4 linked regions of the Arabidopsis thaliana genome follow. The protein of the gene in region 1 purifies or fractionates together with the protein of each later gene. This does not show direct contact. Each region holds a gene or a part of one and is shown in the gene's direction. Other genes may lie near its edges.

What was found.
Region 2: the proteins of MCM5 (region 1) and SMU1 fractionate together in Arabidopsis thaliana (co-fractionation; one large-scale study listed by BioGRID). This does not show direct contact.
Region 3: the proteins of MCM5 (region 1) and GTB1 fractionate together in Arabidopsis thaliana (co-fractionation; one large-scale study listed by BioGRID). This does not show direct contact.
Region 4: the proteins of MCM5 (region 1) and GYRA fractionate together in Arabidopsis thaliana (co-fractionation; one large-scale study listed by BioGRID). This does not show direct contact.

What each region holds. Positions count from the first base shown.
Region 1 is NC_003071.7:3,522,327-3,530,054, reverse strand, and holds MCM5 (Minichromosome maintenance (MCM2/3/5) family protein), read left to right. Parts: upstream 1-2,554; 5' UTR 2,555-2,666; coding exon 2,667-2,936; intron 2,937-3,004; coding exon 3,005-3,148; intron 3,149-3,225; coding exon 3,226-3,405; intron 3,406-3,484; coding exon 3,485-3,583; intron 3,584-3,654; coding exon 3,655-3,791; intron 3,792-3,890; coding exon 3,891-3,996; intron 3,997-4,290; coding exon 4,291-4,425; intron 4,426-4,512; coding exon 4,513-4,590; intron 4,591-4,796; coding exon 4,797-4,901; intron 4,902-4,992; coding exon 4,993-5,084; intron 5,085-5,169; coding exon 5,170-5,302; intron 5,303-5,405; coding exon 5,406-5,501; intron 5,502-5,650; coding exon 5,651-5,742; intron 5,743-5,832; coding exon 5,833-5,923; intron 5,924-6,005; coding exon 6,006-6,115; intron 6,116-6,199; coding exon 6,200-6,329; intron 6,330-6,408; coding exon 6,409-6,510; intron 6,511-6,592; coding exon 6,593-6,676; 3' UTR 6,677-7,071; downstream 7,072-7,728. Other genes in the region: ABCC13 (multidrug resistance-associated protein 11), read right to left, coding at 7,564-7,728. UniProt on the Arabidopsis thaliana protein: Probable component of the MCM2-7 complex (MCM complex) that may function as a DNA helicase and which is essential to undergo a single round of replication initiation and elongation per cell cycle in eukaryotic cells.
Region 2 is NC_003070.9:27,723,012-27,731,132, forward strand, and holds SMU1 (transducin family protein / WD-40 repeat family protein), read left to right. Parts: upstream 1-1,979; 5' UTR 1,980-2,047; coding exon 2,048-2,073; intron 2,074-2,584; coding exon 2,585-2,795; intron 2,796-2,885; coding exon 2,886-3,038; intron 3,039-3,486; coding exon 3,487-3,535; intron 3,536-3,778; coding exon 3,779-3,862; intron 3,863-4,014; coding exon 4,015-4,118; intron 4,119-4,253; coding exon 4,254-4,340; intron 4,341-4,437; coding exon 4,438-4,491; intron 4,492-4,856; coding exon 4,857-4,952; intron 4,953-5,115; coding exon 5,116-5,240; intron 5,241-5,486; coding exon 5,487-5,613; intron 5,614-5,711; coding exon 5,712-5,771; intron 5,772-5,869; coding exon 5,870-5,977; intron 5,978-6,071; coding exon 6,072-6,172; intron 6,173-6,314; coding exon 6,315-6,366; intron 6,367-6,612; coding exon 6,613-6,711; 3' UTR 6,712-7,020; downstream 7,021-8,121. Other genes in the region: AT1G73710 (Pentatricopeptide repeat (PPR) superfamily protein), read left to right, coding at 1-1,154; EIL3 (ETHYLENE-INSENSITIVE3-like 3), read right to left, coding at 7,423-8,121. UniProt on the Arabidopsis thaliana protein: Auxiliary spliceosomal protein involved in splicing of specific pre-mRNAs that affect multiple aspects of development. Required for proper accumulation of SMU2.
Region 3 is NC_003070.9:24,310,873-24,316,178, reverse strand, and holds the start of GTB1 (global transcription factor group B1), read left to right. Parts: upstream 1-1,539; 5' UTR 1,540-1,647; exon of another isoform or gene 1,648-1,720; intron 1,721-1,800; 5' UTR 1,801-1,851; coding exon 1,852-1,882; intron 1,883-2,006; coding exon 2,007-2,099; intron 2,100-2,310; coding exon of another isoform or gene 2,311-2,352; intron 2,353-2,614; coding exon 2,615-2,744; intron 2,745-2,982; coding exon 2,983-3,046; intron 3,047-3,150; coding exon 3,151-3,301; intron 3,302-3,379; coding exon 3,380-3,500; intron 3,501-3,583; coding exon 3,584-3,821; intron 3,822-3,919; coding exon 3,920-4,108; intron 4,109-4,182; coding exon 4,183-4,290; intron 4,291-4,382; coding exon 4,383-4,769; intron 4,770-4,842; coding exon 4,843-4,950; intron 4,951-5,056; coding exon 5,057-5,306. Other genes in the region: GLC (HXXXD-type acyl-transferase family protein), read right to left, coding at 1-304. UniProt on the Arabidopsis thaliana protein: Transcription elongation factor that enhances the transcription elongation by RNA polymerase II (RNAPII).
Region 4 is NC_003074.8:3,339,797-3,348,164, reverse strand, and holds the start of GYRA (DNA GYRASE A), read left to right. Parts: upstream 1-1,804; 5' UTR 1,805-1,921; coding exon 1,922-2,346; intron 2,347-2,440; coding exon 2,441-2,510; intron 2,511-2,608; coding exon 2,609-2,674; intron 2,675-2,788; coding exon 2,789-2,890; intron 2,891-3,078; coding exon 3,079-3,123; intron 3,124-3,199; coding exon 3,200-3,298; intron 3,299-3,437; coding exon 3,438-3,524; intron 3,525-3,657; coding exon 3,658-3,728; intron 3,729-4,216; coding exon 4,217-4,325; intron 4,326-4,430; coding exon 4,431-4,493; intron 4,494-4,642; coding exon 4,643-4,708; intron 4,709-4,803; coding exon 4,804-4,892; intron 4,893-5,093; coding exon 5,094-5,142; intron 5,143-5,295; coding exon 5,296-5,382; intron 5,383-5,483; coding exon 5,484-5,577; intron 5,578-5,962; coding exon 5,963-6,033; intron 6,034-6,118; coding exon 6,119-6,208; intron 6,209-6,598; coding exon 6,599-6,724; intron 6,725-6,810; coding exon 6,811-6,968; intron 6,969-7,066; and 14 more. Other genes in the region: GalAK (galacturonic acid kinase), read left to right, coding at 157-308, 471-511, 604-632, 727-796, 905-994, 1,129-1,376. UniProt on the Arabidopsis thaliana protein: A type II topoisomerase that negatively supercoils closed circular double-stranded DNA in an ATP-dependent manner.

The sequences.
Region 1 (7,728 bases):
CCATAAACCCTAAATCCCAAACCTTCTTAATGTTGCCCATAAATATTAAGCTTAAACCTCTTATCCCTAAACCCTAAACCCTAAACCCTAAACTTTAAACCCTAAACGCTAAACCCTAAACTCTAAACCTTAAACACCTAAACCATAAACCCTAAACTTTAAACCATAGACACTAAGCCCTTAACCATAGAAATATATCATATACCATTTACCATATAAACCCTAAATTTTAAACCTTCTTATTATTGCTTATAAATATTAAGCATAAATCCCCTAAACATAAACCAATTGAGAACATAAAAAATTCATATGATTTAATTCATATGATCAAAATGGAAATATATAATCTAACAAGAAGCATATAACCCTAAACCCAAAAATAATTGTATATGACCATGGTCAATTAACCCTAAACCTTATACCATCTACAATAAACTCTATAATCATTGTAAACAATCATAGTTCCTTAACACTAAATCTAAAACCCTAAACACTAGATACTAAACTCTAAACATTAAACCCTAACCCCTAAATTTATACCCGAAACCCTAAACCCTAAATCTTAAATCCTAAATCCTAAATCCTAAATCCTAAACCCTAAACCCCTAAACCCTAAACCCTAAACCCTAAACTCTAAACCCTTGATATTAAACCCTAAACCTGTTAAACCATAAAGACTAAACCCTTAACAATATACATATACCATATCACGTATACCCTAAACCCTAAACCCTAAATTCTAAGATCTTCACTTTAAAACTTCTTGTTGTTGTCCATAAATATTAAACATAAATCCCCTAAATATAAACAAATTGAGATAGAAAATCCATATTATCCAATCCATATGGACAACAATGGAATATATAATCTCCAATGAGAAACATGTAACCATAAACCCTAAATCATTGTAGACAACTTTGATTCTTCAACCCAAAACCCTAAATCATCTAAACTAAACGCGAAATCCTAAACAATAAAGCCTAAATCCTAAAATGTAAACACTAGATACTAAATCTTAAACCCTAGACATTAAACCCTAGCCCTTGACTTTAAAGCCTAAACCCTAAAACCTAAGTTTTATATGTACATAATCTATAACCACCACTTTTGATCCATGATAATCTAAAGCACGCTTCTTAACCTGAAAACGTAAAATATTATTGAGATCGATGTGTTCATACACAATCTTACGATATACACTCGTATTTATGTTTTGTTAATATGTAATCGTGGATAAATAAATATAAACATTTTCATAAATAAACTTTTGTTGATATGACCAACAAAACTTGTTTCATCACATTTTATCAACATCTTTTACATAACGTAACACTGGTTTTATGAATAGTATTAACAAAACACAATCATTTTGAATTATCGACCGTCAACACACATCCACCAAACTCTGACCATGTGGTCATTTCAAATTATCGCCTATCACTCTTCTTTGATTTGTTTTGTATTTTTTCCATTTTTTCATTATTTGCTCATGTGTTTTAATGAAAATAGCATCAAACTACCTTTAAGTTACAAATTTATAGTAAGAATATATGTTTGGGTTCTTTAATTCAACTCTCTCTCTCTCTTTGAGGAATTTCCACAAATATTTGGTGGCCAAATCTAAGATTTGTAAAAAGACAAAAATTTGACCAAGACAATGATGGATACACTAAGAGAAGAAGAAACCTAGCAATTAAAAATGAAAATTTTAACCTTATGAGGTTGATTAAAGAATGAGAAACTGAATAAAAATCTTGAAAATTTCCAACTTTTAAGATCTAAGAAGAGAAAGAAAAAAGAAAAATCTAGATCTACTTTTTGGTGTTTTTGATGAGAGAGAAGAGAGATAATGTCTCAAACCATTTCCTTTTTTCATTAAGATATTTTAAGTGTTTTGTGTGTTTAATTTTGTAAAGAGTAGAGAAAAAAATGAATGAAAAGAGAGAAAAAGTAATGGTTGTAAATTATGGTAAGTTTGGATTGCTTAGGTTGGGTTGATGGTGTAGTAGTAAAAAAACTTTAAAAAGTGTTTACTCTTTCTAAAGTGCTTTATTGCGTAATTGAGTTTCAAAAAAGTGTCCAATTACCTAATATTCTCAAAAACATTTATCATGTTAATGACATTTCTGTAATTAACGTAAATGAGAAGGATATATATGGTTGATTTTTCTTTTCTTTTTTATAGTTACTTAATTTTCAAATTATTAATGTTATAAAACTAAAAACTATTCTTTTAAACATATATATTAATATAGCCTTAAATTTTAAGTGACATTGAAGAAAATTACGATGGAATTGAAAATGCTTACAACGATATTAAGTAGCTTAAAAATATGAAATTCTAAAATGTGCAATTCATAAATTTAAGATTCCTAGATGTAGTCCATAATTATATTTTTATCTGTTTGGTTTTTTATAATAAATTAGAAAAAATGGATAAAAAATGTAACCTTAGCTAAAAAGAAAAAGAAAGAAAGACCCAATAACCAACGAAATCCATTTACCCGTCCATAGGTCTTGGGTTCGGCCCATCAGTTTCCCGCCACATTGTTCCCGCCAAAACTCATAGTCGACATAAAGCCCTTGCCCCCACTCTCTCTCTTCGTTTAGAACTTTTTGATAAGAGAGAAAGAGATAGAGAAATTCGTAACGGAGACGAAGCAACGATGTCAGGATGGGACGAAGGAGCAGTTTACTACAGCGACCAGCCGCAGTTCCCGGAGGCCGGAGACGCCGCAACCATCAGTCCCCACGCCGTCTTAACCAAATTTAAGGAATTCATTCGAAACTTCGAGATCGAACAGAATTGTTTCCCCTACAGAGAAGCTCTCCTCGATAACCCTAAGCGACTTGTTGTCCACCTCGAAGATCTCCTCTCCTTTGATTCCGATCTCCCCTCCTTAATCCGATCTGCTCCTGCCGATTATCTCCCTGTGGTATGACTTCAAAAAAAATTAGGGTTCATATAAGCTTTGTATTGAGTGAGTCAATCTTTGAATTGTAGTTTGAGAAAGCAGCTGGTGAAGTGTTGACTGGATTGAAAATGAGGGAGGCTAATGAGGGAGGGGTAATGGAGGAACCTCTGACTAGAGATGTGCAGATTTTGCTCACTTCAAGAGAGGATCCAGTATCAATGAGATTACTTGGGGTATGTCTGTTTTTTTGTTTTTAGTATCAATGAGATTACTTGGGGTATGTCTATAATGTACTCTTTACTCTTGATAGGCACAGTACATCTCAAAGTTGGTGAAAATCTCTGGGATTAGTATTGCAGCTTCGAGAGTGAAAGCAAAGGCGACTTATGTGTTTTTGGTATGTAAGAATTGTAAAAAGACAAGGGAAGTTCCATGTCGTCCGGGTCTTGGTGGGGCAATTGTTCCTCGATCATGTGATAATATTCCACAGGTGAGTTCTTTTGATTCGTTTGTGATTTGAGTTTGTAGTTATCCTTGGTGTTGATTAGACCAAATTGGAATTTGTTTAGCCTGGAGAGGAGCCTTGCCCTCTTGATCCTTGGATGGTGGTTCCTGATAGGAGCCAGTATGTTGATCAACAGACCTTAAAGCTACAGGAGAATCCGGAGGTATAGATTTACATTGTAATGTTTTCGCTTTTTTTGCACTTGTATATATTAAATGCTTCTGAGTTTTGAAGGATGTTCCTACTGGAGAGCTTCCAAGAAATATGCTTCTCTCAGTTGATCGGCATCTTGTACAAACAATTGTACCTGGAACCAGACTGACAGTAATGGGTATCTACAGCATTTTCCAAGCTTCGTCATCATCTAACTCGTAAGCTTTGTAGTTTTATGTCAAATGAGAGTGTAGATTGTTTTCTGGGAGAGTTACACCACAACAATGATGGACATCTTTTCCTACTTTCTGATGTAGGCATAAAGGAGCAGTTGCAATTCGCCAGCCTTATATCCGAGTTGTTGGACTGGAAGACACAAATGAGGCCAGTTCCCGTGGCCCTGCCAACTTCACTCCTGACGAAGTTAGTATCGCATCATTTGGTTCTTTTTGTTTTCTCATTTGATAGCCTATGTCATCCATGGTTTCACAATGAACTATTGAAGTTAACATGGCTGAATTATTGTTACTGGAAACCAAATGCCTTAGGTAGCTGTTGGCTCTATGAAATTCTTTGTGTAACTCCCAAATGAATGTGATGGTGTTTTCTGGAAATATTCTCTGTGCTACTAGTTTACTATGAAACATTTAGGCCTGCTTGGAAGCCTAGTTGTACAATTCCATTTATCAGTTTTGTCTTCCATAATATTACTTTTAGGAGGAAGAATTCAAAAAGTTTGCTGATAGTCAAGATGTATACAAGAACATTTGCACCAAGATCGCTCCTTCTATATTTGGCCATGAGGATGTGAAGAGAGCAGCTGCGTGTCTTCTCTTTGGAGGATCCAGGAAGGTAGGAAACTGTGATAGCAGTTTTTATTTTCTGTGCACTTTGTATACGTTTTTGATATATTTATATACATTTCTATCTTTGATTCAGAGCCTGCCCGATGGAGTGAAACTAAGAGGTGATATTAATGTTTTGCTTTTGGGAGACCCATCAACTGCAAAATCACAGGTTTGTAATGTGGTCTCAGTATCAATGGTTTATAATAAGTGTGTTATTCTTTTTATATTTTCTTACGTCTCTCTTATTTGCTTGATATTCGTCTTACATCCTTCTGTTCAAGTGTTAGATTACAATCCTTACAAAATGTCTGTGTTATTTCCAACACCTGTAGCTTACATGTTTAAAGCTTAATTGCTTATTTTTTTTCTCTCTAGTTTCTTAAGTTTGTGGAGAAGACGGCTCCAATTGCTGTTTATACATCTGGAAAGGGTTCATCGGCTGCTGGGCTCACAGCTTCGGTGATTCGAGATAGCAGCACTGTATGTCCTATCTTCAAGTGTTTTTCTATGATTTGTTTAAAAGTAGTTGCTATGACAGATTCTCAGTTATTTATACATATGTTCATTGCAGCGAGAGTTCTATCTTGAAGGTGGTGCTATGGTTTTGGCTGATGGAGGTGTTGTGTGTATTGATGAATTTGACAAGATGAGACCGGAAGATAGGTAATTCAAATCTGAATCATAGTGTTGACGAATCTAATTTTTCTCTATGAGTAGAATTGATGGAATGTTTTTTTTTTCTTTATAGGGTTGCTATTCATGAGGCAATGGAGCAGCAGACAATCTCCATTGCAAAAGCTGGGATAACAACTGTCCTTAATTCTAGAACCTCGGTGCTTGCTGCTGCTAACCCGCCATCTGGTCGATATGATGACCTTAAGGTTTGAAATCTGGTACTCTCCTTTGGCAATATCATGGTTTTCCCGATTCTTGTTTGCAATATTCTTAAGAGATGGGTGTGTTTTTTTTTCTTTGGATTTGCAGACTGCTCAGGACAATATCGATCTGCAGACAACAATTCTTTCTAGATTTGATCTTATCTTCATTGTCAAGGACATCAGGAAGTATTCCCAAGACAAGGTAAGCAAGGAAAGGAACAATTCTTTCAGAAATTTTATGTAGTTAAAAGGGAAAACAGAGATTAATGATGGAGGTCACTGTTATTGGAAAGTTTGCTTCGTTGCTTGCTTATTATGTAGACATGATTAATGTTTATAATCTTTTCACAGGAAATAGCCAGCCATATTATAAGGGTTCATGCATCTGCAAACAAATTTTCGGATGAAAACACAGATTCTAAAGAAGATAATTGGCTCAAAAGGTGTGTTTTCATTCGTCGAGAAAACAATGTGTTCTCGCAGTTTTCTGTACAAAATCATGACTCTAAAATATAATGCTCTTTTTATGTTAGGTATATACAATACTGTCGAGCAAGGTGTCATCCCCGTCTCTCAAAAGACGCTGCTGAGAACCTGCAGCGGAAATATGTCACAATCAGAATGGTAATTGTCATTTACATTAGATTTGACAATAAGATGGTTAAAAAACAAAGTTGGTGTCAGTATAAAATTTTCGGCTAAACAGGATATGAAGAGACGTGCACATGAAACAGGAGAGGCTGCTCCGATACCTATCACAGTGAGACAACTCGAAGCTATTGTCAGACTGAGTGAGTCACTTGCAAAAATGAGACTGTAAGTAATCTTATTAACATAGAGATTCCTGATTCCTGAAACCTGATGGGATGTGCCGTCCATTGACATTGTTAAATATGTCAGGTCACACGAGGCCACACCAGATGATGTAGACAAAGCTTTTAAACTTTTTGATACCTCGACAATGGATGCAGCAAGATCAGGGATAAATCAACAGATAAACATAACAGGCGAGATGGCCAATGAAATCAAGGTTAGTTGCTTGTGGGGAAGAAAGAATCATCGTATCTCTAGATGTAATAACTAAATTTGGTATTGGTGTGAAAAAACAGCAAGCGGAAACACAGATAAAGAGAAGAATGGGGATCGGAGCTCGATTATCAGAGAGAAGACTGATAGAGGATCTGGCTAGAATGGGAATGAACGATTCAATGGTACCTAAGCTAACATCTTTGTTGTTTAATTTTCAGTAATGTGAATGGGATTTTTGAGGTAATGTGCATGTTAAAATGGCAGGTGAGGAGAGCTTTGTTGATAATGCACCAGAGAGGTGAAGTTGAGTACCAGCGAGAGAGACGTTCTATTGTCCGCAAAGCTTGATCGTCTAGGCATGCAATCTCTCTTCTTTAGTAGCAGCGATGACCAAACAAAACAAAATATTTAATATTATCAAGTTAATTTGTAGGCAAAAAGTAGAAAGAGAAGCTTATGTCATGTGTATTTGATGAAGATTCTTAGTAAACTTTTACGCTTGCTTCAAACTAATGTATTCTCCACCTTTGTTGTCCTTAGTTAAAATGTCACGCCAATGTTAGGAAAGCGTTTGAAGATTGCTGAATGGTATAATCTAGTGCCGATAGTTAAAGTAAAGATGCAGATAGAATAGTTGATAAAGTAAAAGTGTAATCTGAACGTATATGTAAATTAAAATTTTCTTAATGTTGTTATTAGTAGAATGTTGTTACCTTGAAAAAAAAATGAAATAAATAACCATGGTTGAACTTGACTCAAAATGTTCTTCTTTTAAACTGGTTCGGGTTACAAAACTAGTATGTTGTTGAATTTTGAACTGGTTCTGAAGCTCCCGGAATCTCTCAATTTCATTTTGTTCTTGTGTTGTTGAGAGATAATTGCTTCTCTATTTAACATATTTTTGGCCAATTACTTTACTCTATCATGCATAGCTTGGGAAACTCATGGCTAAAGCTGTTTTAAGTTGCAATGAAGAATCAATTCCTTCTGAACTAACTTCTTGGAAGAAAAACAGACAATAAGAGTACCATTGTTTACTTCTCAGTTCTCAATCACCATCGAATTAGATAGATATTTATGAATTTGGATTAGGCAAGTCCATGAAGACTCATTTATTATGGAAAACTGAGCATATAAATGAGCTACTACAGTTGAAACTAGTTTTTCTTAATTTCCATGACAAGATAATTATAGCAGAGATCAGAAGTTACAAGTGATCAGATTCTAACAACATTTCACTGAGAAGCTCTGACAAAGCTTGAAAAAGTTGAGGAGTCATCTTGCAAAAGATGTTGTGGTTTTCCTTGTTCAACAAGAATTCCACGATCAAGAATTAGGATGCTGTCTAAATCAACAACCGTAGAAATGCGGTGAGCAATGGTAATGACGGTTACGCCTTT
Region 2 (8,121 bases), on another chromosome or scaffold:
ACGAGGCAATGGAAAAAACAGGGGTGAAACCGAATGAAGTTGTTTATGGTTCCTTAATTAATGGGTTTGCTGAGAGTGGAATGGTCGAAGAAGCGATTCAATACTTTAGAATGATGGAAGAACATGGCGTTCAGTCCAATCATATCGTTCTGACTTCCCTTATCAAGGCTTATAGCAAAGTGGGGTGTCTTGAAGAAGCTAGGAGAGTGTATGACAAAATGAAGGATTCAGAAGGTGGCCCAGATGTTGCTGCATCAAACAGCATGCTAAGTCTGTGTGCAGATCTTGGCATAGTTTCTGAAGCAGAATCCATTTTCAATGCTCTCAGAGAAAAAGGCACATGTGATGTTATTTCGTTTGCAACAATGATGTACTTGTACAAGGGCATGGGCATGCTCGACGAGGCTATTGAAGTGGCTGAAGAAATGAGAGAGTCTGGTCTACTAAGTGACTGCACTTCATTTAATCAGGTTATGGCTTGCTACGCTGCTGATGGGCAGTTAAGTGAATGCTGTGAACTGTTTCATGAGATGTTAGTTGAAAGAAAGCTCTTGCTGGATTGGGGAACATTTAAAACGCTCTTCACGCTCTTGAAGAAAGGTGGGGTGCCAAGTGAAGCTGTGTCGCAGCTACAAACCGCATACAATGAAGCTAAACCACTGGCAACACCAGCAATCACTGCAACTCTGTTCTCAGCCATGGGTTTGTATGCATATGCGCTGGAATCATGCCAAGAGCTCACAAGTGGTGAAATTCCTCGCGAGCATTTTGCATACAACGCAGTGATATACACTTATAGTGCATCAGGAGACATTGACATGGCCCTAAAGGCATACATGAGAATGCAGGAAAAAGGTCTAGAACCAGATATTGTCACGCAAGCCTACCTTGTTGGGATATACGGGAAAGCGGGAATGGTGGAAGGTGTGAAGAGGGTACATAGCCGGCTGACGTTTGGGGAGCTTGAACCAAGCCAATCGTTGTTTAAAGCAGTTAGAGATGCTTATGTGAGTGCAAACAGACAGGACTTGGCTGATGTGGTGAAGAAAGAGATGAGCATTGCTTTTGAAGCTGAAAGGGAGTGTAGTTCAAGATCTGGAGAAGAAGAAGAAGACGATGAAGAGGAAAATTCTGAAGAAGACGAGGCATTTTGAAGTGTAGCCACAGATGTATGTAAGAAATATTGTAGAATATAGGATTTAGTGGAAATGGACTGTACAGTTTCACAGAAGCCAAAGGAAATATGCATACTTAAGCCTCAGATTGATCTCTGGTAAAGAAATGTGTATCTTAAAACTGTTATAGAAAGAAAAAAAAAGGTTCCACAGGGTCAAATCTATAAAAGCGAGCACCTTTGGCTATGGTTTTGGTAGAGGAATTAGCATACGCTCCTTACAACAATAGATTGATTTGCATCATCGGGTTGGTCTTCTGTTGGTTTTGGTCTCTGGATTGAACATCTTTCTCCTGTCTTGCTTGCTCTTATTTTCAATTGTATAGCATCAAAGCCCATGAAAAGAGCCAGATGTTCTGGAATTGATTCCAATTTGGAATCTTGTCAGTTACTGGTGATGAATATCAACATGGAAGATATGAAACAGAGTAGCCAGCAAATTCCTTCCATTCGGAACAAAGAGTCTCTCAGCTTCAGTCAAAGTATATCAGTTATTGATCTCAAGAAAGTAATAGTAGTGAGCAATGAAGATGATGATGGAGCTCTAGAGTTGAAGAACAGAGGAGTGGAACGAACCAGTGGAGAACTCTTGAAGACCACAGTGTCAATGTGTTTATTGTTGTCTTTGTCTTTCTCTAAAAGTTGTAAAAAAAAAGGGTGTGAAGCTAAAGCTAAATGGTATGTAAGCAATGTTTTGCAATTTTAAATTTACAAAATAACACTCGGAGTTTCTGAAAGTTTAATTTTGACCCATAATATTTGATATTTGAGGCATTGTCCTGGAATTAAAACCAAATTGAAACTCCTTCGCGTGTGTTTTCTGCTGCATTTTTACCTCTTAGCGTCTCCGGCGAAAACCCACTACGACTGAGTATGGCGCTCGAAATCGAAGCTCGAGAGTAAGATTTCGCTTTCTCTTACAAACCCTAGTTTTCGTTTAGTGTCACTGATATGAATTGTGCTCCAAGAACCATCGTTTACGAATGCTCAGATGGATCTTAGGTTACATGTTTGGAGAAAACATCTTGAATGTTGGTTTTTTTATATCCTCCATACTAAAGTTGTGGTTTTTAAATCTACCCATAATTTGTTTTAGCTTGGTTCTTCTAAAGCTAATTGCTTCTGAATATCTAGATTCCTCCGTAGCTATTCTTCGTTTAAATTAACGTCGTATACGAAAATTTGAGGGAGATCATCGTTAGAGTGTTTTGATTCTTTGCAATGCGTCTCGAGGAAAAATCCAATTTGTATAAATTTGAACTCTTGTTAATTCTCGGCTTGGATTGAAACCATTGACAGTATTATTAGCCATTTTGTTAGTAATATTGGATGGAGAACGTTTTGATGCTATATGTCAGCTTTGTGTAGATCTTCATCCCTAATAGCTCTCTATTGTGTTGAATGTCTCAGTGTAATAAAGATTATGCTTCAGTTCTGCAAAGAAAATTCCTTGAATCAGACATTCCAGACATTACAAAGCGAGTGTCAGGTTTCCTTGAATACAGTAGACAGCGTCGAGACGTTTATTTCTGATATTAATAGTGGAAGATGGGACTCGGTACTACCTCAAGTTTCCCAGCTTAAACTTCCCAGGAATAAACTTGAAGACCTTTATGAACAGGTTTGTTCTTTTACTCTGTGAAATGTAGAAGTGTATAAAAATAGTGATTGTCATTGTAAGTTTTGTTTATTTTCGGGGTGATTTTTTCAGATTGTATTGGAGATGATAGAACTTCGAGAGTTGGACACTGCCCGAGCTATTTTGAGACAAACTCAGGTGATGGGTGTCATGAAGCAGGAGCAAGCAGAAAGATATTTGCGGATGGAGCATCTTCTAGTCAGAAGCTATTTTGATCCGCATGAGGTATGGAAACTATATTATGCTCGACTATTCAATATCACGTTGGGTGTTGCTTTTGTTGTTGCTGTGTCACCTAAGCATGGTTGTCCGCAACTGTTCAACAGTTCAAACAATGTTGCTATATCTGTTATCTCTTGCATTTTCTGTACTCTACTTGCGACTTTTGATATCTTTCAAAATCTTAAGTAGAACCAGTGAGCGGTTAAACATGAAGTTGTTTCTAGATGAGGGTCTCAAAGTATAACACATGCTCGTATTTCTGAGTACAAAAGTATCTTTACATGTTACTAGCTCTTTTACATGTTGATGGATTTGACTTTTCTATCTGATTAGTCTTTTGAGGTGTATTGTCTCCTAGTCATTGTTCATGTTATGCACAAAGAGTGGCGTTTTTCATGTAATCATTTCCTTGTGATAATCATGGTTTGCTAATTTTACCTTTGTTTCTAAGGCTTATGGAGACTCAACTAAAGAAAGAAAACGGGCACAGATTGCTCAAGGTTGGCCATTTCTTCTTTATTTTCTACAATAACAATTTTCTTCAGTTATTGTATGATTAATTACCTGAAGGAACCAAGTGATGTTCTGGAATACTCTCTCTATTGCATGCTTAAATATTATTATGACATGAAAAGAAGTTATGACGAGAACTTATTTCCTGTTTAATGGTTATAGAGTTTTTGTTTTCTCTTGCTCAGTATGTACTCAAGGTTCACTAATTGTTTGTTCTCCTACTCGATCAGCTGTGGCTGCCGAGGTTACCGTGGTACCACCTTCACGGTTAATGGCTTTGATAGGTCAGGCTTTAAAGTGGCAACAACATCAAGGTGATTATCTAAGGAACTGTGGATGCTACCAAACAGTTCTGTCAAACTTCATCTCGTTTTCTTTTACTTTTTTGCCTACATTACTAATATATCAATGGAATCAACATATGTACCCTCTCTCATTTCCTAAAATTTACATACACTTGTGTCAGGCCTGCTCCCTCCAGGAACACAGTTTGACCTCTTTCGTGGGACGGCAGCTATGAAGCAAGATGTAGAAGACACACATCCTAATGTTCTTACTCATACCATAAAGGTTCATATTCACACTTTAATAGCTTCTTTAGCTTAGTGGTCTATGATCTGTTGCTCATGATTATTTTGGGTTTTCTCATCAGTTGAGTTCTTGTCTAATTTTCATATCTTTTTCCTTGTGCTGGTGCTGGTGCAGTTTGGTAAAAAGAGTCATGCAGAATGCGCTAGATTCTCACCAGATGGACAGTTTCTTGCATCTTCTTCTGTGGATGGTTTTATCGAGGTGAGTTGATCCGGAATCTGTATGTATGATAATACAAGTTATTAGTCTTTAAAATAATTCTGTGACTAGGATTGCTCAGACTTGAAAAGCATTACAGGTATGGGATTACATAAGTGGAAAGCTCAAGAAGGATTTGCAATATCAAGCTGATGTAAGCTCTCATGTCTTCTTTTCATTTTTTAATTCTAACTCAGTACGGGGTCAGATGAGCTGTTAGTACATTTTAATCAAATGAAAATAATCCTTACTGCATCTGATTATTGAACGTGTGACAAGTCTGTGAGAATGATATGGTGGATTACTTTTTGCTTTTTATTCCAAAAATGTCGCCCATGAGATTCCTGAAGCACCAAGTATATGGTGGATTACTGTTATCTTTGAATTTTAATTTTTTCTCCAATGTAACTCCTAAAGCACCAAGTATCTCGTCTGAGACTTCCTGGTATACAAAATATCAGTTTTGGATAAAGAGTTCCCATTCCATCCTCTTTACTTACTATGATTAATTTCTGACAGGAATCTTTCATGATGCATGATGATCCTGTCCTCTGCATAGACTTTAGCAGAGATTCAGAGATGCTTGCATCTGGGTCACAAGATGGAAAGATTAAAGTAAGTTCCAGCTGCATATGTTTCCTTAAAGTTGAATTTTTTGTCTGAAGATAGACTATTGCGGCAGTTTGGTAGATATATCTTCTTCCTCTCATTGGTCCCATATGTATTCTGATTGAATACAAATAGAAAAACTAGACTTAGATGCATGTCACTTTTGCAGATCTGGCGTATAAGGACTGGTGTATGCATACGTCGTTTTGATGCACATTCCCAAGGAGTTACAAGTCTTTCCTTCTCTCGGGATGGAAGCCAATTACTGAGTACCTCCTTTGACCAAACTGCAAGGTTTTATTAGTTATATCTTTATTTTTTTATTTTGTACTTGCGATATGAATCTCGTCCTATCAAAAACTTGAGGCTTTATATTTCTTTGATGGTAGAATATTCTTTTAACTTTTGATTGCATCTTTTTTCTTCTTGTTTTTGTTAATATTTTCCTTTTCATTTGGTAGTTATGTAAGTTTATTGGTAGAGCTTCTAGTCGAATATAATATCAAATTCTTATTATATATTTTGCTTTATTTTATGCAGAATCCATGGTTTGAAATCTGGGAAATTGTTGAAAGAATTTCGTGGTCACACATCTTATGTAAATCATGCCATCTTTACAAGTGATGGAAGCCGTATTATCACTGCCTCCAGTGATTGTACAGTAAAGGTAAATTCTTCGGCTTTGGCTGTCAGCAGTATCATTGTTTCTCATTTGGACTCTCTGCCCCTTCTGCCGTGTAATAACAGTCTTGTTTCCTTGCACAGGTCTGGGATTCTAAGACGACAGATTGTCTACAAACATTCAAGCCGCCACCTCCGTTAAGGGTATCTTTTCTTATACAGATTTATGTACATCTTGTAATACTTTTTCTGATCTTCTGTGGCAAACTCTTTGGTTACCAAGTCTGAATTTTGAAATATAGGGAACTGATGCATCAGTCAACTCTATTCACTTGTTCCCCAAAAACACAGAACACATTGTTGTGTGCAACAAGACATCATCTATATACATTATGACACTCCAAGGACAGGTAAATTTCCAGCAACGGTCTCCTGCAAATCAGTGTCATTGTCATGCCAAAACTAAGATTGTTCACATGCTTCTATATTGGAATCCTTTTGCAGGTTGTGAAGAGTTTCTCATCCGGTAATAGGGAAGGAGGAGATTTTGTAGCAGCATGTGTATCTACAAAAGGAGATTGGATATACTGCATCGGCGAAGACAAGTAACACTCTAACCTCCTATATCTATCGTTTTATTTTTGGATAAGTTCCACGAGTTTGATTTCAAAGGATAATCTTATGGTTCCTTTCTTTTCGGGTTTCATCTTCTGCCTTTGATGTTCGTAATGGTGTTTGCACCTACAGGAAACTGTACTGCTTCAACTATCAATCTGGTGGACTTGAGCATTTCATGATGGTAAGTTTATATCCGTAACAGACATGCTCCAAAAGATTTTGGATGTTGGAAATTTGAAAGTTGCATTTGAGACAAACACATAACAGTAACTCACTAGAGTAATGAAGTCCCTTGTGTGTTATAATGTTTGATTCATCTGTTCTCCATTTTAGAGCTCAGATTATCATCCTCTCTCTCTCTCTCTTAATACTTATCTTAGTTGTCTTTTATTAGACCTGGTTTCTGAATAGTTTATGCTTATGACAGGTGCATGAGAAGGATGTGATTGGTATAACACACCACCCGCATAGAAACCTCCTTGCTACCTATAGTGAAGATTGCACTATGAAGTTATGGAAGCCCTGAGTTTTCTCATCATCAAGTCTTGTTTTCTGTATGATTAGTCTGTCTTTATTTGATTTGCACTCTTCTCGGGTTAGAACTAGTGTAATGTGAAACCATCTTTGCAAAGATCTCAGCCATTTTGGGAACACTACCCACAGACTCTAAAACCAGCATTTCAGATTTTAAGACCGTTTCACCTGGCCTTGAGCCTTGTAGTAGTTTATTTAACAACGTGTCTCCTTCCTCTTTGACCTTCCCAGCCAGTCAACTCCCATATACTTTTTAGTCTTAGGAAAGAATAAAGTCAAGCTCAAAAATATATAAAAAAAAATGAAAACTTGGGAAGTTCAAAAGAAACAAATAATGATTCTCTTAACTTGATGAATTACTCACAGGTAAATTTACAAATGATGATACGCTAACTGCTTTCCCTAGAGACCATTACAACGGGCAAAGCAGTTCTTCTGGCAACTTATTCAAAAGGAAAATTGTTTCTCTTAACAAATCTAAGAAAATATTATAAGAAAAAAAGAGGAAGAATATAAGATCAGAAGAAATGAAGAAGAGAAAGTAACTGTACTAGCCAGACTATTGCCATGTCCTTTTGAACCTACAAAAATAACAGTAAAACAAAATACATCAAATCTATAAACTAAGATCAAATATATGAGATGGTGTTGTGTAATAAAAAAAAAACTTACTATGTAATCTCCCAAAAAAAATGGCAAGACACTAAGCTCCAAACCATGAGAAATCATCACCAAAACCACCATAGTCAAAGTCCAAGTCAGTCAATGGAGACAGAATGCCACTCTGATACTGAGGCAACTCACTCCCTGTTACACCGTCTTCATTTCCGAGTAAACCAAGGGGTTGAAGTACTCCTCCTGGGGCCTCCTCGAACCCACTGTTGTGAGGTGGTGCTTGTGTATTCATTTCTATCTGTGTATGGAGAATGTCGTCTTCCTGGTTATGTACAAACACTGCAGAGGGATTGTAGAAGTTGTACCCTGACCCAAATTGAAGCTCTTGGTTAGGGTTTGGTCCATAAAGCATTGGCCTTTCGTCTACAGGCATCATAGTTTGTTCATTAACAAGTGGAAGATAAGTATAGTTGTTATTGAACTCAGGAACCACTAGTTCCAGACCATTATCCTCTGGTCCTAAGGCAATATTTGGGTCGACAACATCGTCCTCTTGATGAGTACCGTTGATGTTATATTCTAGCAGAGGGGCATCAACATGATTCATATCAGGTAAGATGTTTCTTTGTTGAGCTTCAGGTTGTTCTTCCTCTTGTCGATTGACAGTTCCGGATCTAATTCGAGGTCTTTTCCTTCTGCGATGTTTCTCTGCTTTATCTTGATCTCTTACTGAATGTGAGATGGCTGTTGGTTGTTCTTTTTGAATCTGATTTCTTCTACTGTCTTT
Region 3 (5,306 bases), on another chromosome or scaffold:
CAACATCAAGCCGTCCAGAGCTAGGATCCACGCGGAGTCTCCCGGCCAAGAACTCATAAGCGTCCATGAGTTTCACCAACGCCTTTCTCAGCTTCTCCGAGACCATCTCCGGTGGAAACTCCTTGTTAGGTCGGAAGAAATGAACTGTTTGAACGTCAAAGTTGAGAATTTGGTCGACGTTGGATAAGAACATGGATTTTCTCTCGCTGGTTTCTTCAGATGGGAAAATGAGTGTTGATTCTTTGATCGTAACCTTAAGATCTTCAAGAAGCAACGGTGGAGATTCTTGGTACGAAGAACCCATTTTGCAACCCTTCTCTCTCTCTCTTTCTCTCTAAGTTAATTAGGTTTTGAGTGAAGTTTGTGATTTGGGTTTCAGACTTAATCTATATTATATAGACTAACACGTAGTAAAAGGCGTTTTTAATTTTATCTTGGCTTTATGATAATGTACGTGTACATTATAGTATGAAATAATCCATGGAGAGTAAATTATTGATCCCATAATAAATGTGACTTTTTAATAAAAAAAGATATGGTACGGATCGTTACAAGAACAAACAAAGCAGTTTCGTGCTACGTAGACGTCGTTTTTATCCAGTCACATGAAAACGTTATTCTTTAAAAGCTAAAATTGTCACTGTTGTATTATTGTGTTGTGTTTATAGATTTGGGAAGAATGATGGGCTGCATTGGTGGGTGTGAGTAGGGTTGGTGATTTATGTTTTTTAAAATTTGATAGGAGAACTTTGATATGTCGGTGTAGCTACATAATATGCATGTGATATATCAACCTTTTTGTTGTGATATTTGCCAAACTTTGACTTCTCCATTTGTGGTTTATGGAATAATACGATTTTTACCCATTTGCAGTATCTCATTACGGTTACAAACTTACAATCTACAATTAGTCTAGTTTCTAACCTTTTTCTTGCCATATTAAAAGGCATGAACTCAAAATATGGCCGAATCCAAGCCCGGCCCGTTCATAAAAAAGCCGAAACATTTGTTTTAGGCCACCTAATATAAAAAGTTTTTAGGGCCTCATGTGTAAAATTTGTCCTACAATATAATTTGTCTAGTGTTATATTTATTTTTATATATGTCCAAATGTTTATATTATTATCAACTTGTTATTTAATTTTAAATATATCAATTATAAGATTTAAAACTTTTTCACAGTTTAAAATTTTATATTTTTGATAAAATTAAATTGTTTAACTAAAAATTAAATTAATCTATAGACAAACTTTTAAATTTGAATCCGATTTAGATTTATTTTAATTTTATTTATCATATAAATTTAAATAATTGTTTAAACATTTTAGCCGATGTAACGTTTTTTTATTAATTATTAATGTATGTCTATTTTCTTATATTTCGAATTATCGAATTAAATATTCTCCACTCTAATTATAAGATAAGTTGAATAAACTTTGTTTTGTTTTTAGTCTCGACTTTTTTTTCTTTACATTTCTTCAAAAAGTATAATAATTTTTAAAAACATTATTAAAAAAAAAATATTTCTAAAACGCAGAGAAAAAATTGAGGCAAATCTGTCAGTATAAACTTGTAATTTCATCGTCTCCGTCTTCTTCTTCGTTTATCAGTTCTTCGTCGCCTTTCGCTTATGAAAAATTCACACTGGTAAAGCTTCTTCCTTTACCAAACCCATTTCTCTTCTCTAGCTCCTTCTGGGTTCTCTTTTCGAAGAACCCTAGTAATCGCGAGAACCTTCTTCCCCCTTTCTCTTCGCAAAATCAGAAATCATAATCACAATCTCTTCGTTTTTTTTTGCAGTTTGCAGGGCTAATTTCTGCGTTATCGTACTTCTAATTTGTTGAGATAAACATGGCGAGGAACGCAATCTCTGACGATGAAGGTACCTTAATCGCTTCGTCGCAAACCCTAATTTTTTTCTGTGTGAAACGCCGTAATAATACTAGGGTTTTGTTTATTTCTTCTGATTTGTATGAAAAAATTGAATCCTTTTCTCTTTTGCGTAGAGGATCATGAGCTTGAGGATGACGACGGAGAGCCAGTTCATGGAGATCCAGCTGAGCATGATGAAAACGATGATGAAGAAGATGATGATGACGGTATAAGTTTTTTCCTTGATTTTGACTTCTCCCAGTGAGAAATGTGTCGTCTTTCGTTTCTTTTTGCTTACCACCCTAAATCTGGAAGCTGTAGAGTCTGATTGCATCGAAGGAAATTAGTGGTATGGTTTGGTTTAGTACTGAAGCGCATGCAGTTCTTTGTCTTAAAATCGATTCATTTGGAGAAATTCTGCTGCATTTGCTCCATTAGAAGATGCAGTGTCTGGATTTGGCAACCAAAAAAAAAAAAAAAGTGAATGCATCTTGTTTCTTAGATGTTTACTTATCTGCTGCAAAGTCTCTCCTTCTACCACTTCTTGTTTCTATATTCTCTGTTTCATACGGTTGCTTGATTTGTTCCTTTTTAGACTTCATGGTTTCTGCAAGTTTTGAGCTGCACACATTTCTCTCACCTTGGGTTTGAGTATTTTTTTTTCTTTTTCTTTCTAGGCTTTTTAACTTAGATTCAGGCTATTTTTGTTCCATGATGTGGGATCCGTATATCTGTTTTGTAGTTGGGAATGAGTATGAGAATGATGGGTTCATAGTGAATGATGAAGACGAAGAGGAAGAAGAGGAAGAAGACGAAGAAAGGAAAGATAGCGATGAGGAGAGGCAGAAAAAGAAGAAGAAACGAAAGAAAAAGTGAATATTTTATATCCTTACTCATTCTCTTAGATTTTATCCTTTTCTAACATATGAAAAACTAAATGTTAGTGTTGACATGCATGATACTTTTGAAGAAATGTTCCCTTAATTCTCAGCAGTCTTTATTTGTGATTTTCATACATTGTTTGTGATGAGTATGTAAGTTACCATTAGACGAACTATAGCAGGTCTGTTCTCTTTCTGACTAACCTTCCATTTATGATAATTTTAATAGGGACGAAGGTCTTGATGAAGATGATTATTTGCTTCTACAAGATAACAACGTCAAATTCAAAAAGGTTAGTCATATTTGTGTATATAACAATACATCAGGATTTTGTAGATACACTAAAAATATATGTGCAGTACTAATACATTTGACTTTTTTCTTGAACCATGACAGAGGCAGTATAAGCGGTTGAAGAAAGCTCAAAGGGAACAGGGAAATGGCCAGGGAGAATCATCCGATGATGAGTTTGATAGTAGAGGTGGAACTAGGAGAAGTGCTGAGGATAAGATCAAAGACAGGCTGTTTGATGATGTTGATGTTGATGGTAGGTTCTCTGTGCCTTCTGATACTATTATGTTGACTGTTGGCACATAGTTGACTATGTACATTTTGTGTCTACTAGATCCACCTGATGATGTAGGTGATGAGGAAGACTTAGTTGTGGAAGAAGATGTAGTTGGGAGCGAGGATGAAATGGCAGATTTTATTGTAGATGAAGATGATGAGCATGGTCCTCCTAAGAGGTATTTTTTTTCTGTCTTTTTTGTGCCCTAACATATCACTTATGTCATGTACATTTTCTGATTCTAATCAACTTACTTTTCAGGGGCAACTCGAAGAAAAAGAAATATAGGCAGGGATCAGATATTACTGCTATGCGAGATGCTAATGAAATATTTGGTGATGTTGACGAATTATTAACAATTCGCAAAAAGGGTTTGGCATCTAATCAAAGGATGGAAAGAAGGCTCGAAGATGAGTTTGAACCAACTGTTCTTTCTGAGAAATATATGACAGGGAATGATGATGAAATCCGCCAGCTTGATATTCCTGAGAGAATGCAGGTGCATTATCTTCTTTAGTTTTCTCTATGTATACTTGTGGTCTATGTTTTCTTTGGTGTTCAAGGATAGATGTAAAGATATCTTGTAAACTTTGACAGATATCTGAAGAAAGCACCGGAAGCCCTCCTGTAGATGAAATTAGCATTGAAGAAGAAAGCAATTGGATATATGCTCAACTTGCTTCCCAACTTAGAGAATCTGATGGAACTTTTGATGGGCGGGGTTTCTCGGTTAATAAGGATGACATCGCAAAATTTTTGGAGCTACATCATGTGCAGAAATTAGAGGTTTTGGATTCATTCTCTCGTTGGATTTTCTTTGATTCATTGATTAGCTTGCTAATGTTTTCTGTCTCTTCTAGATACCGTTTATAGCTATGTACCGAAAGGAGCAATGCCGGAGCTTGTTGGACACTGGTGATTTTGATGGCGCCAATCAAGGCAAGAAACCTGAGACCAAGTGGCATAAGGTAAGCAATTATCTTGGATAAACAACAAGTGCTCAGGTTAACATTTATTGTCAGAGGAAATTTGGTGGATTCTATACTATTTTCCAATGCAGGTCTTCTGGATGATTCATGACTTGGATAAGAAGTGGCTCCTTCTTCGAAAAAGGAAAATGGCGTTGCATGGTTACTATACAAAACGTTACGAAGAAGAGTCTAGGAGGGTCTATGATGAAACAAGACTTAATCTAAATCAGTATCTTTTTGAATCAGTCATTAAGTCTCTTAAAGTTGCAGAAACAGAAAGAGAAGTTGATGATGTAGATTCCAAGTTCAACTTGCATTTTCCTCCCGGTGAAATTGGTGTTGATGAAGGGCAGTATAAGAGGCCGAAAAGGAAATCACAATATAGCATCTGCAGTAAAGCAGGGCTCTGGGAGGTTGCAAACAAATTTGGGTATAGTGCTGAGCAACTGGGACTTGCATTGTCCCTAGAAAAACTGGTCGGTATGCTTTTATATTGTTTGATTTGCATGTTGTACTGGAATGGCAGTTCTGACGCTAAATGAGTTGCAGGTTGATGAGCTTGAGGATGCAAAGGAAACACCAGAGGAGATGGCTAAAAACTTTGTGTGCGCAATGTTTGAAAATTCTCTGGCAGTTCTGAAAGGTGCACGGCATATGGTATATACTCTGCAATAATACTATTTTTTGAATTGCTTAGCTGGGTTTAATATCAGAAGGACTTCCCTAATCACTAATGCGGAGATATCCCATTTTTCCTTGTTAGGCTGCAGTTGAGATAAGTTGCGAGCCATCAGTCAAAAAGTATGTCCGTGGCATTTATATGGAGAATGCAGTGGTCTCAACAAGTCCAACAGCAGATGGAAATACAGTAATTGATTCGTTCCATCAGTTTTCTGGGATTAAGTGGTTGCGTGAAAAGCCATTGAGCAAGTTTGAGGGTGCACAATGGCTTCTCATTCAGAAGGGAGAAGAGGAGAAACTTCTTCAAGTAACCTTCAAGCTGCCTGAGAATT
Region 4 (8,368 bases), on another chromosome or scaffold:
AATGTATTTCAATGCTGAGTTCACTTCTTCCTAAAATGAAAATGAATGGTTAGAATCAGGAGGCCTTGAAGAAATCCTTCCTAACCAGCCATAGATAGGGAAACTTTATTTTCTTCCAGAAACTGCCATCTCAGAAAAACTGTTTGAAATATGCAGACTTTGGACCACGAGCTTGTACAGGCTCCTGAACTGGAGAAACCGTTCAGGATATTGTTAGCATTCTCAGGCTTGAGGCAGGCGTTGACCACCAACCCAGGATATAATCTGCGAGTTTCTGAGTGTCAAGAGGCAGCAAAAGTTCTTTTGACGTATGTGCAAATCTGTTTGATTCATATTTATCTACATTTTCGCTTATTTAGATTTAAATTTCAGTGGAAATGCTGCAAAGTTTATTTCTCTATTGCTTGTGATACTCATTTTTCTGCATCACAAGATTCACACCCTTCTCTTGATTTACTTTTTCTTTTCAGTGCATCTGGGAACAGTGAGCTGGAACCTACGTTGTGCAATGGTAAAAAAACTTTAAGTGTGGACTTTAACTTATTCGTTGCATGCTGATTAGTTTTTCTTTGTTGCCATGTCTCTAACTGTCCCACTGAATAGTTGAGCATGCGGTCTATGAAGCTCACAAGGTAAGAAAATAAGATTCTTAAGCTTTTGGTAAAACAGGTTCCACCTATATCAGGCCTATGTAAATATGTAATACAATAATACTTGTTCGTGCAGCATGAGCTGAAACCGGTTTTAGCTAAAAGAGCAGAGCATTATTTCTCGGAGAACATGCGAGTTATCAAAGGCAAATGTTCTTGAATTCTTGTAGATGTCTCTTTATGTGCATGAATGATTCATTAAGCTCTTTATGATGCTTAACGGACTTTTATGAATGTTTGTTCTTAAATTTCAGGACGGGAAGCCTGGGCTTCAGGGAATCTTGAAGAATTTGGAAAGCTAATTTCAGCATCCGGCTTGAGTTCCATTGAGAATTACGAATGCGGTACATTACACTCTCTTTTCTTCTCTCCCAAATGCAACATATCCTATAGTGAATACAGACCACTAGTATGCTTACAGACATTATTCTCTCTTAGATTCATTATTTTGGTTTTAAATTCTGTGAGTTTTGTGAAGGTGCGGAGCCACTGATCCAGCTATACAAGATTCTTCTGAAGGCTCCTGGTGTATATGGAGCTAGATTCAGCGGTGCAGGTTTCAGGGGATGTTGTCTAGCCTTTGTAGATGCAGAAAAAGCTGAGGCAGCTGCTTCATATGTGAAGGATGAATATGAAAAGGCCCAACCCGAGTTTGCTAACAATCTAAATGGAGGAAAACCTGTTCTCATCTGTGAAGCAGGTGACGCTGCTCGTGTTCTTCTCTGATCAATCCTGGAGTTTTTGGTTTCTTCCCCACTTAAACTCGATTTTTTTGTCCCTTATATCTCTCACGCTTATTGATTCTTTGCTTGTTTATCTCTTTTTGATCCTGTCTGAGAAATTCTCTGGTCTCTTTGGTCGGAGTTTCATCATTGCTTGATACATTTTTTTTGCTACAAATACATAATGTAAATCATTCTCTACCGTTTTCGAGTCGATAGAAGAATCGCAAACTTCAAAAATGTGACTAACATTTCTCCATAAATTTGTTAAATTTTCAACAATTGGTGAATTTAGTTCTGTAATTGATCTAACAAAGACACTATACAAGTATGAAATTAGAAATTGAAATCGAAAGTTAGTTATTATAATCTTGTTTGTATAAAATAGTGTATATCTCAAATAGAGATACAGATTAGTTTTTTGTTTGGACACAAAGACCCCCGCCAAAGTATTGAAATTCGCGCCTGAGAAATTCTCCGGTGTGGCTCTCTAGGGTTTTAGCACTTTAATCCATTTGTACTTGTAAAAATCCCTAAAACCCTCTGGGCATGACTCCAGTATTATGCCATTCCACTGCTTCAATCCCTAACCCTAACTCTCTCATGTCTCTCTCCTCCACTCTCCGTCTCTCTTCCTCCCTTCTTCGCCGCTCCTTCTTCCGATTCCCCCTCACCGACCCATTATGCCGTCTCCGCCGCACTGAACCCTCCGCCACGCGTTTCTTCTCCTCCCGTACTCCTCGGTCCGGCAAATTCGTTGTCGGTGCTGGTAAGCGCGGAGATGAGCAGGTCAAGGAAGAGTCCGGAGCTAACAATGGCGGTTTGGTTGTTTCTGGGGACGAATCTCGTATTGTGCCTTTTGAGCTACATAAGGAAGCTACTGAGTCGTATATGTCGTATGCGCTCTCTGTTTTGCTTGGACGTGCTTTGCCTGATGTTAGAGACGGACTAAAACCAGTACATCGGAGAATTCTGTTGAGTGACTTTCGTTCGGCTCAAAGCTACTGATATTTTTAAGCTTAGTCAGTGGTATTGTTCCTTCTAATGTTCGATTATTTTGTCTTCCAGCTTTGCAATGCATGAGTTGGGGATGTCATCTAAAAAACCATACAAGAAATGTGCAAGAGTTGTTGGAGAGGTATATTATTGATTTTTGGAAAGTGTTTTCTCAGTCGATTTCTCTAAATATCTTATTCTGAAGAACGATTTGTGCTGTTGAATTCTTTGGGTTTTCAGGTTCTTGGTAAATTCCATCCGCATGGAGATACTGCTGTTTATGATTCTCTTGTTAGGATGGCTCAGGTAAATATCTGAATTCATGGAATGTAGTCCAGTCCTCAAATAATGTTTCAGGCACGATTCGATTCTTCCCAAACTTCTGACTTTTTTGTTTTAATACCTTTGTTTTTTTGGCAGAGTTTCTCCTTGAGATGTCCACTTATCCAAGGCCATGGAAATTTTGGCTCAATAGATGCAGATCCTCCTGCTGCTATGCGTTACACTGAATGCAGACTCGATGTGAGTGCCTTTTACCTTACTTTCCCTTCTAGTTGAAATGGTTTTCCCTGCAATTCACTTTTTCTAGTTGTTTCACTTGTCTTTGCTATCTATAGTGTATCTCTCATCTCTACTTTTTCTCTTGTCTTGAGATGAACATGTATTTTTGTCAGTGTTTTCAGCTGATTGTACTTATTTTTTTTCTGCAGCCACTGGCAGAGGCAGTACTATTGTCTGATCTGGATCAAGATACGGTAACCTCACTATTAATTTGTTGCCAAGTTTACCGATACTCAACTAGATGGTCCTTAACCTCTTTTGTTTTGGCAGGTGGATTTTGTGGCCAATTTTGATAACTCACAAAAAGAACCAGCAGTGTTGCCTGCTCGTCTTCCTGCTTTGTTGTTGAATGGAGCTTCTGGGATTGCGGTAAAATAATCAAACAAATCTTAAATCTGAACTCCTTAATAGATTTTGTTCGAGATTTCTTCAGTTAATCTTGTGCAGATTTTCCCTGCTGTATGAGATTGAATATGCAGTTGAATCTTGATCATTTCACATTGTTTAGGTTGGCATGGCAACAAATATTCCCCCTCATAATCTTGGGGAGTTGGTAGACGTGCTTTGCGCTTTAATCCATAATCCAGAAGCAACGGTATCACTCATCTCCCCTTTGTTTTTCTGTGATTTATCAATTTGTGGGTCTTTTGTTTTACATGAAAAATCCTCTGTTTTATAAGTAGACAACTCATAAGATTTTGTTTCCACTTTCTTCTTCGTCTGGGCAGCTGCAAGAACTGCTGGAATACATGCCTGCACCGGATTTTCCAACTGGAGGAATAATAATGGGAAACCTTGGGTAACTCTTTGCTTTCCAATTTCTCCCCAAAGGGATCTTATACATTAATGACTTTTGTTTGCCCACCTCGTTTGCTAATTTTTTGAGAGTAGGCTATCTATAGGATCAAATAGAAAGACTCACTTCTAAAGTGTGAAACTTTTTTTTTATGGAAATAGAAAAGCATTTTGTTTTGTTTTGATCTATGATTCTAACAGATTACAGAAGCTGTACCTATATCTTAAAAGGAACCTAGAAAATGAGTGAAGAGGATGGTCCAGTTAATAGTTTTCCTTTATTTGTCTGTCATATGCAGTTTTTGAATCATCATGTTTTTTTCTGATGGTGTGAGTGATTTTTTAATATTCTGAAAGCTTATATGTTGTGTAGTACATTTACTCTCGAGTTTGTTGAATACCTTTATTAAAAAAATAGTTTGCATTCATATGCCATTTCCTTTTACAATGTTGGATTCTTATAATTTTCTAATGTGTGTTTGCGCTTTCAAGGGTTTTGGATGCTTACCGAACTGGCCGAGGGCGAGTTGTAGTTAGAGGAAAAGCTGAAGTTGAATTGTTGGATCCAAAGACAAAGCGGAATGCAGTTATTATCACAGAGGTGATCAATTTAGTTTTTTAGATTAATGTTCAGATCTCCATGGATGAGGGTTTCAAAAATGTTTATTAGCAGTAGAGTAATGCCTTTAGTGTGACTTTATTGCAGATTCCTTACCAGACAAACAAAGCTACACTTGTCCAGAAGATTGCCGAACTTGTTGAAAATAAGGTACAACTAAACTTGCGACATCTAATGTTTATTTTGCTTCACTTAGCAATATGTACTTATTTTACTCAGAGGTGTGTTACATTTCTAGTATGTCCTTATATGCTTGCAAAGTTTCTTCTTTATTCATTGATGTTGGTGTTTGTTTTCAGACGCTAGAGGGCATAAGTGACATACGTGACGAGAGTGATCGTAATGGGATGCGTGTGGTTATTGAGGTATTACACTGTTTCCTCTGCACTTAGATGTATTAGTCTGCTTTAAAATTTCATATTGGAAGGTAATTAAGATAATTTCCAATACTTCTCTATAGCTCAAAAGAGGAGGGGATCCTGCACTTGTGCTTAATAATCTTTACCGGCATACTGCCCTTCAATCAAGCTTCAGCTGCAACATGGTGGGGTGAGTTGCATCAACCGATAACTTCTTATTTCCTGTACTTTTTTGAAGAGTGGGCATATAAAAGAACTTGGGCATTTTCCAGGATGACTAGTTGAAAATTCTCTAATGAGTATGTTATGCTTGTAAATATATTAAGGATCATGTATTCACATATGCGTTTTTCTTTATCGTAACTGGATTATGGTATTCTGTGTTTTACAGTATCTGCGATGGAGAACCCAAGCTAATGGGATTAAAAGAACTACTTCAGGTGACCACTTGTCTATGTAAATCATTTATCTACGTAGCCCACAAGGAGTAATAGAAAAGTGAAGATCAGAGATAGGATATTTACTTCTGTGCTACTGTAATCACATTTTAAAGTAAATTTGTTGATTACTTTCTGTTTCTTGCTTGTGTGTAGGCATTTATAGATTTCAGGTGTTCTGTCGTCGAAAGGCGTGCAAGATTCAAGCTTTCACATGCACAACAACGAAAGCATATTATTGAGGTGCGACTAGAAATATTTAACTTTCTTAAATCTGCTCGTGAAGACCATGATGTAATGATGTAAAGCATTTTTTCTAATATCTTCACTGTATATATGCTTAGGGTATTGTGGTTGGGCTTGACAATGTGGACGAAGTAATCGAACTCATCACGAAGGCCTCAAGTCATTCCTCTGCTACTGCTGCTTTACAAAGTGGTGAGCTATATTTTACTTTGACAATATAATCAATGTAACAATCTTGAACTGCACATTATAGGTTGATGTATAAACAGAATTCGGAAAAGTGAGCGAGAATTAGGAGTCAAAAAGTAGACTAGAGCCAATTTTTCTTAGGTGGACTGATAGATGTAGTCTAGGATGTACACTATTAAAAGAATACATCTTGTGGTGAACTCTTCCATATTACATTTGAACATTATATATTTCTTGTCTTTTTATCTGGAACTGCTGGAGTCTCATTCGTTGTAAGATTTGATCTTAATTGCAAAGATTTCTTAGGGATTTATGCTTTGTAAGTCTCTATTGTAAGGGACGATACCATATATTAAAATTAACACTTGTCAAACATTTACTTATGTAGAATATGGTCTTTCTGAGAAACAAGCTGAGGCTATACTGGAGATAACTCTTCGAAGGCTAACTGCTCTTGAGGTGCTTTCTTATTCTCGCTAAGTTCAATTTATGAAACTTGTAGGCTTGACAATGTTCTAACTAGATTCTCCCTTCATAAATGCAGCGGAAAAAGTTTACTGATGAAAGTAGTTCACTAACAGAGCAAATTACAAAGTTGGAGCAGCTATTATCAACCCGAACAAACATCCTAAAGGTGACACACTCACTTTTTAGTTATCTGTTCTTTTGGCTATTGATATTAGAAATTTAGAACACCTAGATGCTAGTAGAATGATAGATGCATCAATATATGTACTCCAAATTTGTAAGCTTGACTGTTTGAGTCCACTGAGGTTCAAAATCTAGTCCATGCATTATGATGTGGTATAAGGATTCAAATGCTTCTTCCATTTCTTGTTTGGTACTTATTTTTATATCTGTAAAGCTGCTTACTATATGTTGCTGTTCTGGGCCAATGTTAGGAAGATAACTGATACATGATGATTTTCTTGTAGACCAAAATTGAACTATTTGCTTCGTTTACTTCATTGTATATTACTTACTACTTTATTCTCTTCGTTGTTTTTCTTGTATTTTTCTTTAGTTAATCGAACAAGAAGCAATAGAGCTGAAGGACAGATTCTCAAGTCCCAGGCGTTCAATGTTGGAGGATTCTGACAGTGGTGATCTAGAAGATATAGATGTTATTCCAAATGAAGAGATGCTGATGGTATGTTGCATACTTAAACCTAGAAAGTTTCTCAACGTTGAAATTTTTGTTGTTTGTTTTGTAACTTTTGATATGGATGACTATAGGCAGTCAGCGAAAAGGGCTATGTGAAGAGAATGAAGGCCGATACATTCAATCTTCAGCATCGTGGAACAATTGGCAAATCTGTTGGGAAACTAAGAGTTGATGATGCAATGTCTGACTTTCTTGTTTGTCATGCACATGACCATGTCCTCTTTTTCAGGTATGTATACCTCAAAATTTCCTTTGTGTTTGCTACGCACATGGATATTAATTTTCTGCCTTGTTGTAATTCATTGCTTATACTTGTTGTACATTCAGTGACCGGGGTATAGTTTACTCAACCCGTGCATATAAAATTCCAGAATGCTCTCGCAATGCAGCTGGTACACCTTTGGTTCAGGTAATTACATATCTGTGTATCTATGTTTTCCTTCTGCTATGTCAAAAATTATTCAATTTTATGAAAGGCTAATGTTTTGCTGTGTTCATGTGACTTGTGGAAGCAGATATTATCCATGTCGGAAGGTGAAAGAGTAACCTCCATTGTTCCTGTTAGCGAGTTTGCTGAAGATCGCTACCTCCTGATGCTTACAGTGAATGGCTGCATCAAGAAAGTATCTTTGAAATTATTTTCAGGAATACGCTCAACTGGAATCATAGCAATTCAGTTGGTTTGTCCCCTTTTTCTTCTTAGTCATATAGGAAGTCTTCTTAACAAGGTTACTCTAACAAAATTATTTGTCTTCAGAATTCTGGTGATGAACTGAAATGGGTTCGTTGTTGCTCAAGCGACGATCTTGTAGCCATGGCATCCCAAAATGGAATGGTCGCCTTGAGTACATGTGATGGTGTAAGTTGTGGCTCTCATTTTTTCTAAATGATTCATCTTTCATGTAAACCTTTTAATACTTGAGCAAACTCTGATGGCTTTTGTTTGTTTAGGTTCGCACACTGAGCAGAAATACAAAGGGAGTGACTGCCATGAGACTCAAGAATGAGGATAAGATAGCGAGCATGGACATCATACCTGCATCTCTGCGGAAAGATATGGAAGAGAAGTCGGAAGATGCTTCACTTGTGTATGTTTTTCTTAACTTATATCTGCTGATGTTTGCTCTAGAAACTTACTTATGTCTTACTGTCTTCTTTTGTTAACACAATCACAAAAGCAGGAAACAATCCACGGGTCCATGGCTATTATTCGTGTGTGAGAATGGCTATGGAAAGCGTGTTCCTCTGAGTAGCTTCCGGCGTTCGCGTCTGAACAGAGTTGGTTTATCTGGATACAAGGTAGGATCTGGATTTTCACCATTTTTGGTTGTGTTTGTGTTGATTTTTCCCTTACATCTAAATCTCAATTTGTCAGTTTGCTGAGGATGATCGTTTGGCTGCTGTTTTCGTTGTTGGTTACTCCTTGGCTGGTAAGTATACACTGCCACAAATACGGATTTAAATGTTCTTTGATTGCTGTTTATATATAATCTCACCATTGGGTTTTCTTGCAGAGGATGGGGAGAGTGATGAGCAAGTAGTTCTGGTGAGCCAAAGCGGAACTGTGAACCGGATCAAAGTCAGGGATATCTCAATCCAATCTCGCAGAGCACGGTACTCCCTTCATGT